Linked DNA regions of Styela clava. The main gene of each other region encodes a partner of the protein of the gene in region 3 in a complex. Links are inferred from orthologs where the notes say so. Each region holds a gene or a part of one and is shown on either strand. Other genes may lie near its edges.

Evidence for each region.
Region 1: mediator of RNA polymerase II transcription subunit 4-like (region 3) and mediator of RNA polymerase II transcription subunit 20-like share a complex: the UniProt entries of both Drosophila melanogaster proteins name them as parts of the mediator complex. The link is inferred for Styela clava from reciprocal best matches to the Drosophila melanogaster genes MED4 and MED20.
Region 2: mediator of RNA polymerase II transcription subunit 4-like (region 3) and mediator of RNA polymerase II transcription subunit 8-like share a complex: the UniProt entries of both Drosophila melanogaster proteins name them as parts of the mediator complex. The link is inferred for Styela clava from reciprocal best matches to the Drosophila melanogaster genes MED4 and MED8.

Annotation. Positions count from the first base shown.
Region 1 is NC_135251.1:21,685,233-21,688,997, reverse strand, and holds mediator of RNA polymerase II transcription subunit 20-like, read left to right. Parts: upstream 1-1,108; 5' UTR 1,109-1,847; coding exon 1,848-2,456; 3' UTR 2,457-3,358; downstream 3,359-3,765. Other genes in the region: prolyl hydroxylase EGLN3-like, read left to right, coding at 3,359-3,765. UniProt on the Drosophila melanogaster protein: Component of the Mediator complex, a coactivator involved in the regulated transcription of nearly all RNA polymerase II-dependent genes.
Region 2 is NC_135258.1:9,744,497-9,747,224, forward strand, and holds mediator of RNA polymerase II transcription subunit 8-like, read right to left. Parts: upstream 1,522-2,728; 5' UTR 1,520-1,521; coding exon 785-1,519; 3' UTR 526-784; downstream 1-525. Other genes in the region: cytochrome P450 26B1-like, read right to left, coding at 2,480-2,728. UniProt on the Drosophila melanogaster protein: Component of the Mediator complex, a coactivator involved in the regulated transcription of nearly all RNA polymerase II-dependent genes.
Region 3 is NC_135264.1:5,108,000-5,111,764, reverse strand, and holds the start of mediator of RNA polymerase II transcription subunit 4-like, read right to left. Parts: upstream 2,280-3,765; 5' UTR 2,148-2,279; intron 1,454-2,147; 5' UTR 1,389-1,453; intron 907-1,388; 5' UTR 820-906; coding exon 7-819; 3' UTR 1-6. UniProt on the Drosophila melanogaster protein: Component of the Mediator complex, a coactivator involved in the regulated transcription of nearly all RNA polymerase II-dependent genes.

The DNA of each region.
Region 1 (3,765 bases), on a different chromosome or scaffold from region 3:
ATACATTATAATACATAGTTACACAATGCACATTCGCTACACGACCATACGGTCATCCAAGTCAGCTCACCGTACCTTTGACGCTACCGGTACCTACGCTTGACAAAGCAGGAATTTCGTTCCACACCACCGACGTTCCATGAGCGTGATCAAAAGAACAACAAAAAGAGTGACAGCACAAAAACAAATCCAATACGTGTCATAAAAACGAATCCCACAGTGCTATCAAGAATATTTGAAATAGATGAATGTAATAGCCTTCTAAAGAATTTTTTTATCTTTAACCACTGAAAAGAGCAATTGGTCCAGTAATCAAAAAGAAAAGCGACTTTTTACGTTTTCCACAAGGTGTCCAAAAGTGTCAAAGAACAACAACAACATAATATTAAAACGATCGTTATGTTCACTAACTTGTCCAACAAGAACAACAAAAATTGCAAAACGATCGTTATGTGCACCAACGTGTCCAATTTACGTGCGAACTTGATCATTTCACATTTTGAAAAAACTACACACACGTGAGCTACTTGATCTCAAAAATCGGTGTGTCAGATAATTTGCAAAAATCCATTGACAGTAACCAGCAATGCTAACCGGTTTGCTGATCTCAAAATTCCGTGAGACGGTTCTATAGAACCAGTGCGAACAGGATGAATCCCACAACTGGATAAAGTGCGTAATAAACCGACATATTTTAATAAGTGATAGGGCCTACTACCCTCTAGTACAGGGTGGTCCAAACCCAGGCCGGCGGGCCACATGTGGGCCGCCGCGTCATTATCCGTGGCCCGCGACTCATTTGCGCGAAGGGAAACAAAAAATTGCACTTGGAGTTGTTTCATCTTGAAAATAACCAAAAAATATTTTAAAGTCACTGAATTGAGTAGTGTTATGGCTAGCTGAAGCAGCTAGCGTGGTTAATTTATGTGCTTAGGTAGACTAAATATTTATCTGGCTTTCCATTTTTTTGTTCGGGAATATATGCTAACAAAATAAGCTTCGTAGAAAAGTAAAAATCGAATATAAAGAATCTATAAGCCTAGGTTGGCTACGCATGTAACTGAATATAATTCCTGTCGGATCTTTTTTGAAATTTAGTAATTATCCTAATGTATCCCAAATTTGGTGAAATTCAGTAATCAATCAATCTGCTGTTATTTGTAAATTATTTTGTAAACATGAGTTTGAAAAGAATGCTGACCAATTCAAACAGATTTTTTGACTGGATATGGGATACCGGTACCATACCATAATACTTGCCCAATATGTCTGCAAGTTGTGTCGGTGATGACTGATGATCTAAAACGACATTTTCTTCGTTATGAAAAGTTTGAAATTTTACACTAAATGTAGATATAGACTAGTCTAGTAAGATTTGTGCAAGTTTTAGTAAGTTTTTTTTGGTGGTTTTTGTACGTTTTAGCTTGATAAATGACTAATAATGATCAATGTGTTTGGACAATAGAAGTGTGTGTTTTGTATTGCACTGTATACTCTAGGCACTATTGTGGCCCGCGAGGCCGACAACCTTGGACCACCCTGCTCTAGTGGTATAAGGGGAAAATTTTTCCATAAACAATGAATAACTTTGTAATATTTTTGATAAGTTGAAAGCAGATTGCAGACCCCAAAATTTTGTAGATATCATTTTTTGTGACAAAATTCATTTTCACATTGAAGTAGCATTGTAGAATTTTGTGAAATATACTCTACTATACCACTTTTTGTCATGCAGGTCTGCATTTTCTTGTTGTTTGTATCAATACTTCTTTCTGTATATGTACAAGCTGATTTAAATTAACGCATTCATGCTAAAATAAAGTTGAGATATTATATAATCTGGCAGTATGGGAGTTACATTTGTAACCCATTGGGATATTGAGGAAGGAAAAAATGTTCCACAATCATTAGAAGAACTTCAACGGACAATTGAAAAAATTGGAGCTAAAAAATCAGGATTATTTTGCGTGGAATGTGAAACATATCAAACAGTGAACATTAATCAAGGAAAACCTCTAAACATAATATCCAACTCGGAATACCCATTGTCAAAATTTGCACTTTTTGAAGATGGTGCTTCACTAATCGCAGATGCAATGCTACCAAATTTTTTAGTTAAGATGAGATTGTTTTGGCAACAGCGCAAAGGGGCAAAGATTGAGTGCAAAGGACATCGGTATATTCTCAATGATTTTTTATTCAAAATTGGAGTAGTTACTCATGGGTCAAATACAAGAGGAATTGCTGTTGAGATAGAGTACACTCCGTGCCTTTATGTTAAAGAATGTTGGAATTTGCTTTTAGAGATTTTTCAAAATATTCTGGGACCCCAAGCTCCTACATCGGAAAATCCACTTTTTCAAAAATTGAAATCAACTGACATAATATATACAGCGGAACATACATCTTTACAATACATAGAAGTTTTCAATAATTTTCGCAAAGTTACATCATGAATTGGGATTTTATATTCCGTTGGTCTGTTTCGTGTATTTGTAACATTGGAGTTGCAATGAGTTATAAAGTATGAAATATCAAATATTTTAATATTACCAGAACTTTCAGAACCTGTCCCTCCAAAATAGTAGATGAGAATTGATTTCCTATTTTTATTATGGAGAATGAAGTTTCTTATCGTCTTGTTCAACATTAAACAAATAATTGAAAATAATGCCATTTTCAACTAATTTGGTTTAAACTTTGAAAATTAGCTTTGGCGTCATCGCTCTAAAAAGTTTACTGATAAGTTTTTATTTTATTAAATATTTGGTATATATGTCTGCTAATTTAATACTTTCTTCTAAACAAAAATGTTATTCATATCCATGGGAAGATGATTTAATAAAAGGATTTTGCAAAACATTCGGTTAATTTTGACATGTAATATTTTTGTATTGCCATTTTTACTATGAACGTTGCCATGTACAGGGATCCCAGTTCAATACACCCTGCGTGAGATGATAGGCATGTGACTTCAACATGGGATGTTCAACCTAGTTATGCCCAGCGCTTTAACCAGTGATTTCATTTTATATTTGTTCATTTTTAAATCCATGCCTGTACGATGTGTATGTTATGTAGGTTTACATAAACTTTTGAAACCAACTTGATTGCTCTTTAGATATATTGACATAGTGACAGTACGATGACAGTCATGGTCACGATGCTTTGTTTAACTAGCATATTTATACGCTATTCAAATATTCCCATCTACTTATTACTACTTCTCAATAAAGTATCGAAATAATTTTACACAACCCAAATTGATGATATTGTGGAAAGAAAATCAGTCTGATTATAAGTTTTCATACAATTGCTATTTTATGAATTTATCTCAATTTTCTACCATCATCAATTTATGAGCTTGATAACCTTATTTGCAGAAATATTGTTTGTTCACTATAATAAGATGCCAACTTGTGCTGTTTGCGATAAGCTTGACAATTTGAAGTCCTGTAGTCGATGTGGAAGTGTAGAATATTGTGGGCGTGAACACCAAACACAACATTGGAAAGTGCATAAAAAAGATTGTAAAAAACAATCGGGCAAGACAGACAGCACTGAAAATTCTGAAGAACAAAATGAGAATTCCACAATAGATGAAGTCGCACAAAAGATCAAATCAATGAATTTAGAAACAGAAGGTCGTGTGGCACAGAATTCTATTCCTCTTAACCCATATGATAGTTACACAAAAAGGGATGAAGGAATTGTTGCTCGATGTCATAAAAACTTAGTTCAGAGGGGAATATGCGTCATCGATAC
Region 2 (2,728 bases), on a different chromosome or scaffold from region 3:
TGGATTCGAATCCTCCGGATTCGGTATTCTATATTGCCCATCCCTACCCTTGATCATAATGGGAGAACAGTAAGTTGGATTGATCAAGCCCTACGTACCTGTCAGACTAACTCGTAACCAGTCAAGCTCAAACATTAAAGTTTTGTTTGCTTAGTAGATGTTCTTGTTGTTGTATTATCAGACAATATGAATGGTATACAAAACTGGCATGGAAACTAAATTGTGAAACCCAATCTGGAAGTACAAAACATCCAAGATTTGAAAAACCATGTTAAATTTAGCAGTTTGTACCATGGCTTTATACAAAACTGGCATGGAAACTACATTGTGAAACCCAATCTGGGAGTACAAAACATCCAAGATTCGACAAACCATGTTAAATTTAGCAGTTTGTACCATGGCTTACTGTAAAACAGGCCCATAGGCATTCCCTTACGCTTATGGTATAGAAAGATACCTCAACAAAGAGGCTAATTCCAATTCCGCTTTCATGCTCAATATAAAATAAATATATCACAAGAAAAGCAGTTTTTATCATATTGTATTTCATCAGTCTTCTTCATAATCTAGATAGAAAAATTAATTTTAGATGAACTACAATTCCCCTACATATTCGCCAGTTCCCTCATATATTTATTCATGTAATGTCAGAATATAACATAGAGTTTTGCTTATATTTTTTCAAGCAGTCCCACGGCTCATAAAGCCTTTATTTCATGTTAAGACAATGCGTTTACAACAATATTCCAATACCAAATGGATCCAAAACATTGATCCTAAGCAATCATGGCCTTGAATATGGATGGGACTCTATTTTGACACCCGTAGCCGTTTGCATTTTCCCACCTCCTGGTGGTAGCTGAGTTGGGTTTCGAGACTGTTGTATTGAAATATCACGACCGTACGTTGAAGCTGCAATTAATTGTACAGTGTCATTCTGATTAAATGTTGGTTTTATATTTTTCATTTGCTGTTGATCGTTTTTCCAATTATGTAGAGAAAGTTTTATTCTTTCTAACATTTTATCACAACATTTGTTTAAGTTTTTGACGGCTGCATCATTACATACACTTGCTTCATTATTCATTTGACGTTCCGTTTGTTCGACCTCTGGATCAGGTTTGGTCCTTAGATAATCTGGGACAACGGCATGATTAAGATATAGCAATCTACCTTCCGTTAGATTAGCAAGATATTGGTCGTCATCCTGGCCCAAGCGTAATGGTATAATAGGATAATTTTGAAGAGGTGCTATTTTTTCAGCTTTCAATAAGTTGAAGAGTGAACTCATTTGACCCGATAACAGAGCATAACTATCCAAGACTGATGTCCAAGTAAGAGTTTCATGTTCGTGATCTATTTTTGCAATAAATTGTACCAAAGCATTTTTCAATTCTCGAGAACGATTCATGAGGGCTTCAACTGATTGCTCGAGCACTTTTTCTTCTATTCCTTGAGATTCCATGATATTATTTTTAGAAATAAGTGTTGCAGGCTGATAAATATAAACAGTACTCATTATAAATCTAAGATATCAATTTGCATAACTTCACATCATTTGATAATAAAAACTAGTCAAAAATCAAATACAGCCCTATCAGAAAATTTGAAACTGATTCTTATCACAAGCCACAACACAGTTTGATAAAAACACTAGTACAAGATGGAATACCGGTTTAAATAGACAGGTCTTATATAAAAAAGAAGTCTGTAAATGTTTGAATTAGGTAACTCACAAATCATGCTGAATATCGTTTAATTAAGGTACACAAAAAGATAATTTCAAATTTCATGCATAGAAATGGAGAGAACAAATCTTGATTTCTAAATGAACCGCATTGTAATATTGATAATAATTTGAAGAAATAATCTGCAGAGAAAACTCAATTGCAAAACAAATAAATTAGAAAATACTCAAGTTATAAATAATTTTTCAAAAAAGTCTAGAAGTACAGTATTCCAATACCGATGTGGAGAAATATGAGAATAGAATTTTTGTTAACAATATCAATATTAATAAACATCCATGATATATGGTATATTTGTTAGGTAACAAATAAAGATAAAAAAGTGCTCTGGGAATATATCAAGTACTGACTGACATTGCAAAATTCATATTGATAAAAATAATGCTGCGGTAACATGGTACAGTACAGTAACAATAATACTGTTCATCATTCATAAGGTATTAATAATCAAGTGATTAAAAATTTTACAGAAAAATTAAAAAAAATGATAACAAATTGATTTCGAAGAATCAAGTGCAATTTGCAAGAAGTTGCAATTTGTAAGAAAGAATTAGTTATATAATGATTGAATGAAAAAAGGACTTGTTCAAAACAATTTTAAAGCTTCAGAGTGTTGAATGTAATTTGAAATTTCATCGGAACATTTTAAAAACAGATTAGGCTATAGAGGATAATGGGCACATAACACAATACAGAGGTAAAACGACAAAAATTGTGAGAAAAATAATCAACTATATTTTATTATGAAATCTAACGCAAGGCAATTCTGTAGGTCTTGCGACTGGGAGTAATTTGTACTTTTTTGTATTGTTGACATCACCATCAATTTCCCATGTAAATTTTTCCAGTAACGTTTTTGTCAAACGCTGTAGGATATACTGAATGAGACGATGTCCGATACATACACGTTCCCCACCCCCAAAAGTAAATATAGAATTTGCTGATATAGTATTTCCCTGATTTAACCATCGATCTGGATT
Region 3 (3,765 bases):
TATAATTTAATCATTCCCGAAACTAGAATCCGAAGATGAACTTGATGATGAATCAGAGGACATTATTTCAACCTCTTCATCTCCTTTTTGACCATATCCAAATTTTCCGTCCATACCAGATGCTGATTGGTTGCCCCATTGTGGTTGTTGTATATCATTAGATCGCGACATACCAACTAAATTTGGTACAGAAAGTCCTTCCGTTCCTAACTGCGGCGGTGGCTTAATCGTTGAATTTGCATCTGTCATATTGTTAATCTGTCCCAGCCAACCACATCTCATTTCGATGTCCTGTGGATAGGGTCGTCTTGGGTCACCTGGCGCCCAATTTAATGGAGCTGCCGTGGCACATGCAGCGCTTATTTTGTGAGCATATTTAATGATATCTTCAGAAGGAACAGCACCTTTTCTTGCTCTTCTGATCGATTTGAGTTTTTCTTTGGCTTGGTATAGAGCAGTGGATAAAAGATGTTCCGCATCTTTTAGGTGTTTTTGTAAAACCTCAATTTCTTTATTTTTTTGTGCGATTTCAGCTTTGTATAATTTGATATCACGATGAAGTTGTTGTTGGTCGCGTGCCATTGCCATTTTCTCTTCTAAATCTTTGTTTTTTTGAAGCAAAAGATCAGTAAGCTGATTCACGTTCATTTTTTGTGGGATAGCTTCATCATTTTGAGAATTGAAAGTTTGACTGGTTGAAGATTGCCTTGATGACTGTTGGGAAAGAGTTTCAAACAATTGCCGAGTAATAAGATCAATGTCTTCAACAAGAGCCATTAATTGTTGTTTAGTGCTGATGCTTCCTCGTTGTAATTCCATTTCCAATCTTTTTTCGATAATAACTTTTGAAGAATAAATTTGAATATCAATATTATGATATTGAAATACCCTGAATTAAAATTATGCCTGCAATGAAGAAGTTTCTTATTGTTAATAATACTGTAATAATAGTTTACAACAAAGACGGAACTTTATCGCAAATAACCGCAACCCAATATATGATCTTATATTCCTGACAATTTAAGTTTGACAATTTAGGAATAAATTATGTTTATCTTAATTAAAGGAAGGATTACAGATGTAAGTTTTTAAAAAATTTAATTTTGATTGGAATCTGATTCTATTTACATTAGTATAATATATCGTATCACCGTTGACTTAATACAAATTTAAAATAACTGAAGGATAAATTGTGATAAAATAATAATGCATAATGTTGTTGGAAAAAATACATTCAATGAACTCAATTTATTTAGGCGGAGAACTTTTATTTTCTGTTTCATAGCTGCATAGAGCTATCAATCAATCAATTTTATTTTGGCCACTCTGAACGAAACAAAACATCAACAAACGGACAAACAAAATGCAGAGGAGCTACACTTACTTACATTTTCATTCCAAAACAATAGCGAACCTATACCGTAGTCTAGCGCTCATTTCTTCTAAAATTGACCTAAAAAATAATTCAATTTTGTAAACCCAGAGACCCTAGTTATTTAAATGTAGGCTACTTACTGACTTAAATAAAAAAAATACCTGAATACTGTTTGCAACATGATTCTTAAGGAAGCGGACCTATGTTTTAATAAGGAACACCAGTATCCAATGATTTTGTAAGTTTTAGGGTAATGACATTATATTAGTACGTTAAAGAATCGTTCATATAACTTAATGAGGGTCTAGTATAGTTTAGTACCACAAGTGCCGGTACTTCCGGTGGGCGTAGCATAACGATTTTTGCATATGTTACTCCTAACCCTCACCTGATTATGCCATCCAAAAATTACGTCACTACGACGTCACCATCACGTCATAGGGATTGCCAAAGTATAATTACCATCGCCCGAAATGGCATCTGCGCCGCCGATAAGAACTTGTTAAGGCCGGCGATCTCTCTCCTATCGTGATCGTTGCGACGAGAAAACGAGAGAAATAGCTTGCTCGATTTCGGGTTATCGTCTGCGCGTTTTGGACGACCATCCGCATACTTCGGTGGGCCTTATTACGCCACTGTGACGTCGGAATGACGTAATTTTTCGGTGACGTAGTCAGGTGGGGGTTAGGATTGACATATGCAAAAATTGTTGAGCCAGGCCAACTAGAAGTGGATGTGGTACTAAACTATACCAGACCCCTTAATGACATACCGTAGGTATCGGTATTTGTGAACTTCAATACCGGTACCGTACAATATTCGTTACGTCAGTACCGGTACCCGGTACGTTGATGACAAAGACACAGGTCAGCACGTAGAGTAGCCTATAAAATATCGTAACAATACAGCAATACCGCCCATTAGTCTGATTAGTTAACCAGTCGTTTGTTTTCCATGTTTGATGTGGGGTTGAATTGTCCGGATACCGAAACCGGTTAACCCAAATGTATTTTGCTACCTGATATCCGGATAGCATTGTGACGGTTAACAGATTCAGATACTGTATTTATTTCGTCGTGCATGAAACAATGTACAGACAAAATTAAACAAATATAATAACCGGATATTAAAGTAGCATAAATAATCCATATGCTCATTAATGATTTTTTATATTTTTGTTACGTAGCAGCTGCCATTCCCCAAAGCATATATTAACAAATTTTATTCACACTTCTTTGCTTATACCTTTGCCATCCAATCAATCATCATTTATTCGTCAACACAATTTAAACATGGTATGATATATGAAAAAATATCACAAATACAAGTGGAAACTAACTTAAATTGTGTGACAGGAGTCGCGAGGGACCTCAAGAGGTCTTCAGGCAGCGACACCACCAGCGCCATCCGTAAATGCTGGAGTGTACTTCCACTATCACATCACAAAATAAATGTGATTTTTATGTAAAAGTAGAGCGCATTCGCTTCACCTTTGACTGATAAGCATAAATGAATTTATTCTCCATTCATCATTAGCCTAATGAGATGGGTGAGCAAAATAAAACGTCACCAGCTAGCTTATCAATATCCGGCTTCATTTTAGTCAGAAACGGTCTTATGTTTCTTCAACGATGTCAAATGCGGTTACTCTTGTAATCTAGAAGCGCGGTCATGGCACAGGTATGAGCTGTTAAAGGATTTTTTTTTACATGATCCCGCACGTGAGGGTATTTTAATTTGGTTTAATTCTGAACAATTATTATGGAACACTGAACATTTGTTTGAGTTCAAAATCTTTTTGCAATTTGATGTTCCTTTTCAAGAATCCCACGTCCGTGAATAATACTAAACTAGAATTGGAAAAATGTTCGTCCAGGCATATTTCACTGATACACGACGAGCCTATTATTGGAACCAGACAGTGTTATTGGAACCAATCCATCTTTATCAGATTGATTTATTCTCCATGAAAGTAAACTGCTGGAATTCAACAACAGTATCAAAAGGGTGTGAAATCAGTCAGTCAGTAGTTTATTTTTTCACCAAACTTAATATACACTTGGTTCGAACATTGAATAGGAGTAAACGTAGTAATGGCATTCCAAGTTCCGCGAAAATCAAATGCTGGTCATCGAGCAGCGATACCCGTCTTGCTGGTGTATGGCAGATAGATATCCATGGAAAGCCATATCTTACTTCAGTGTGAAGTAAGGCTAGTAAGCGCTCAAATGCATTCATCACTTTCATTGCATAATTATTTAAGTGAGCGAGTGTTTAGCACGCGTTTATTTTATTTACTGCCTTCATGACTATGACTGAAAAATCAACTCGTTTCTGTACTTTATCATTGCTCAATGAAACAAGAGAGCTACGCCCAAATATATGGACAC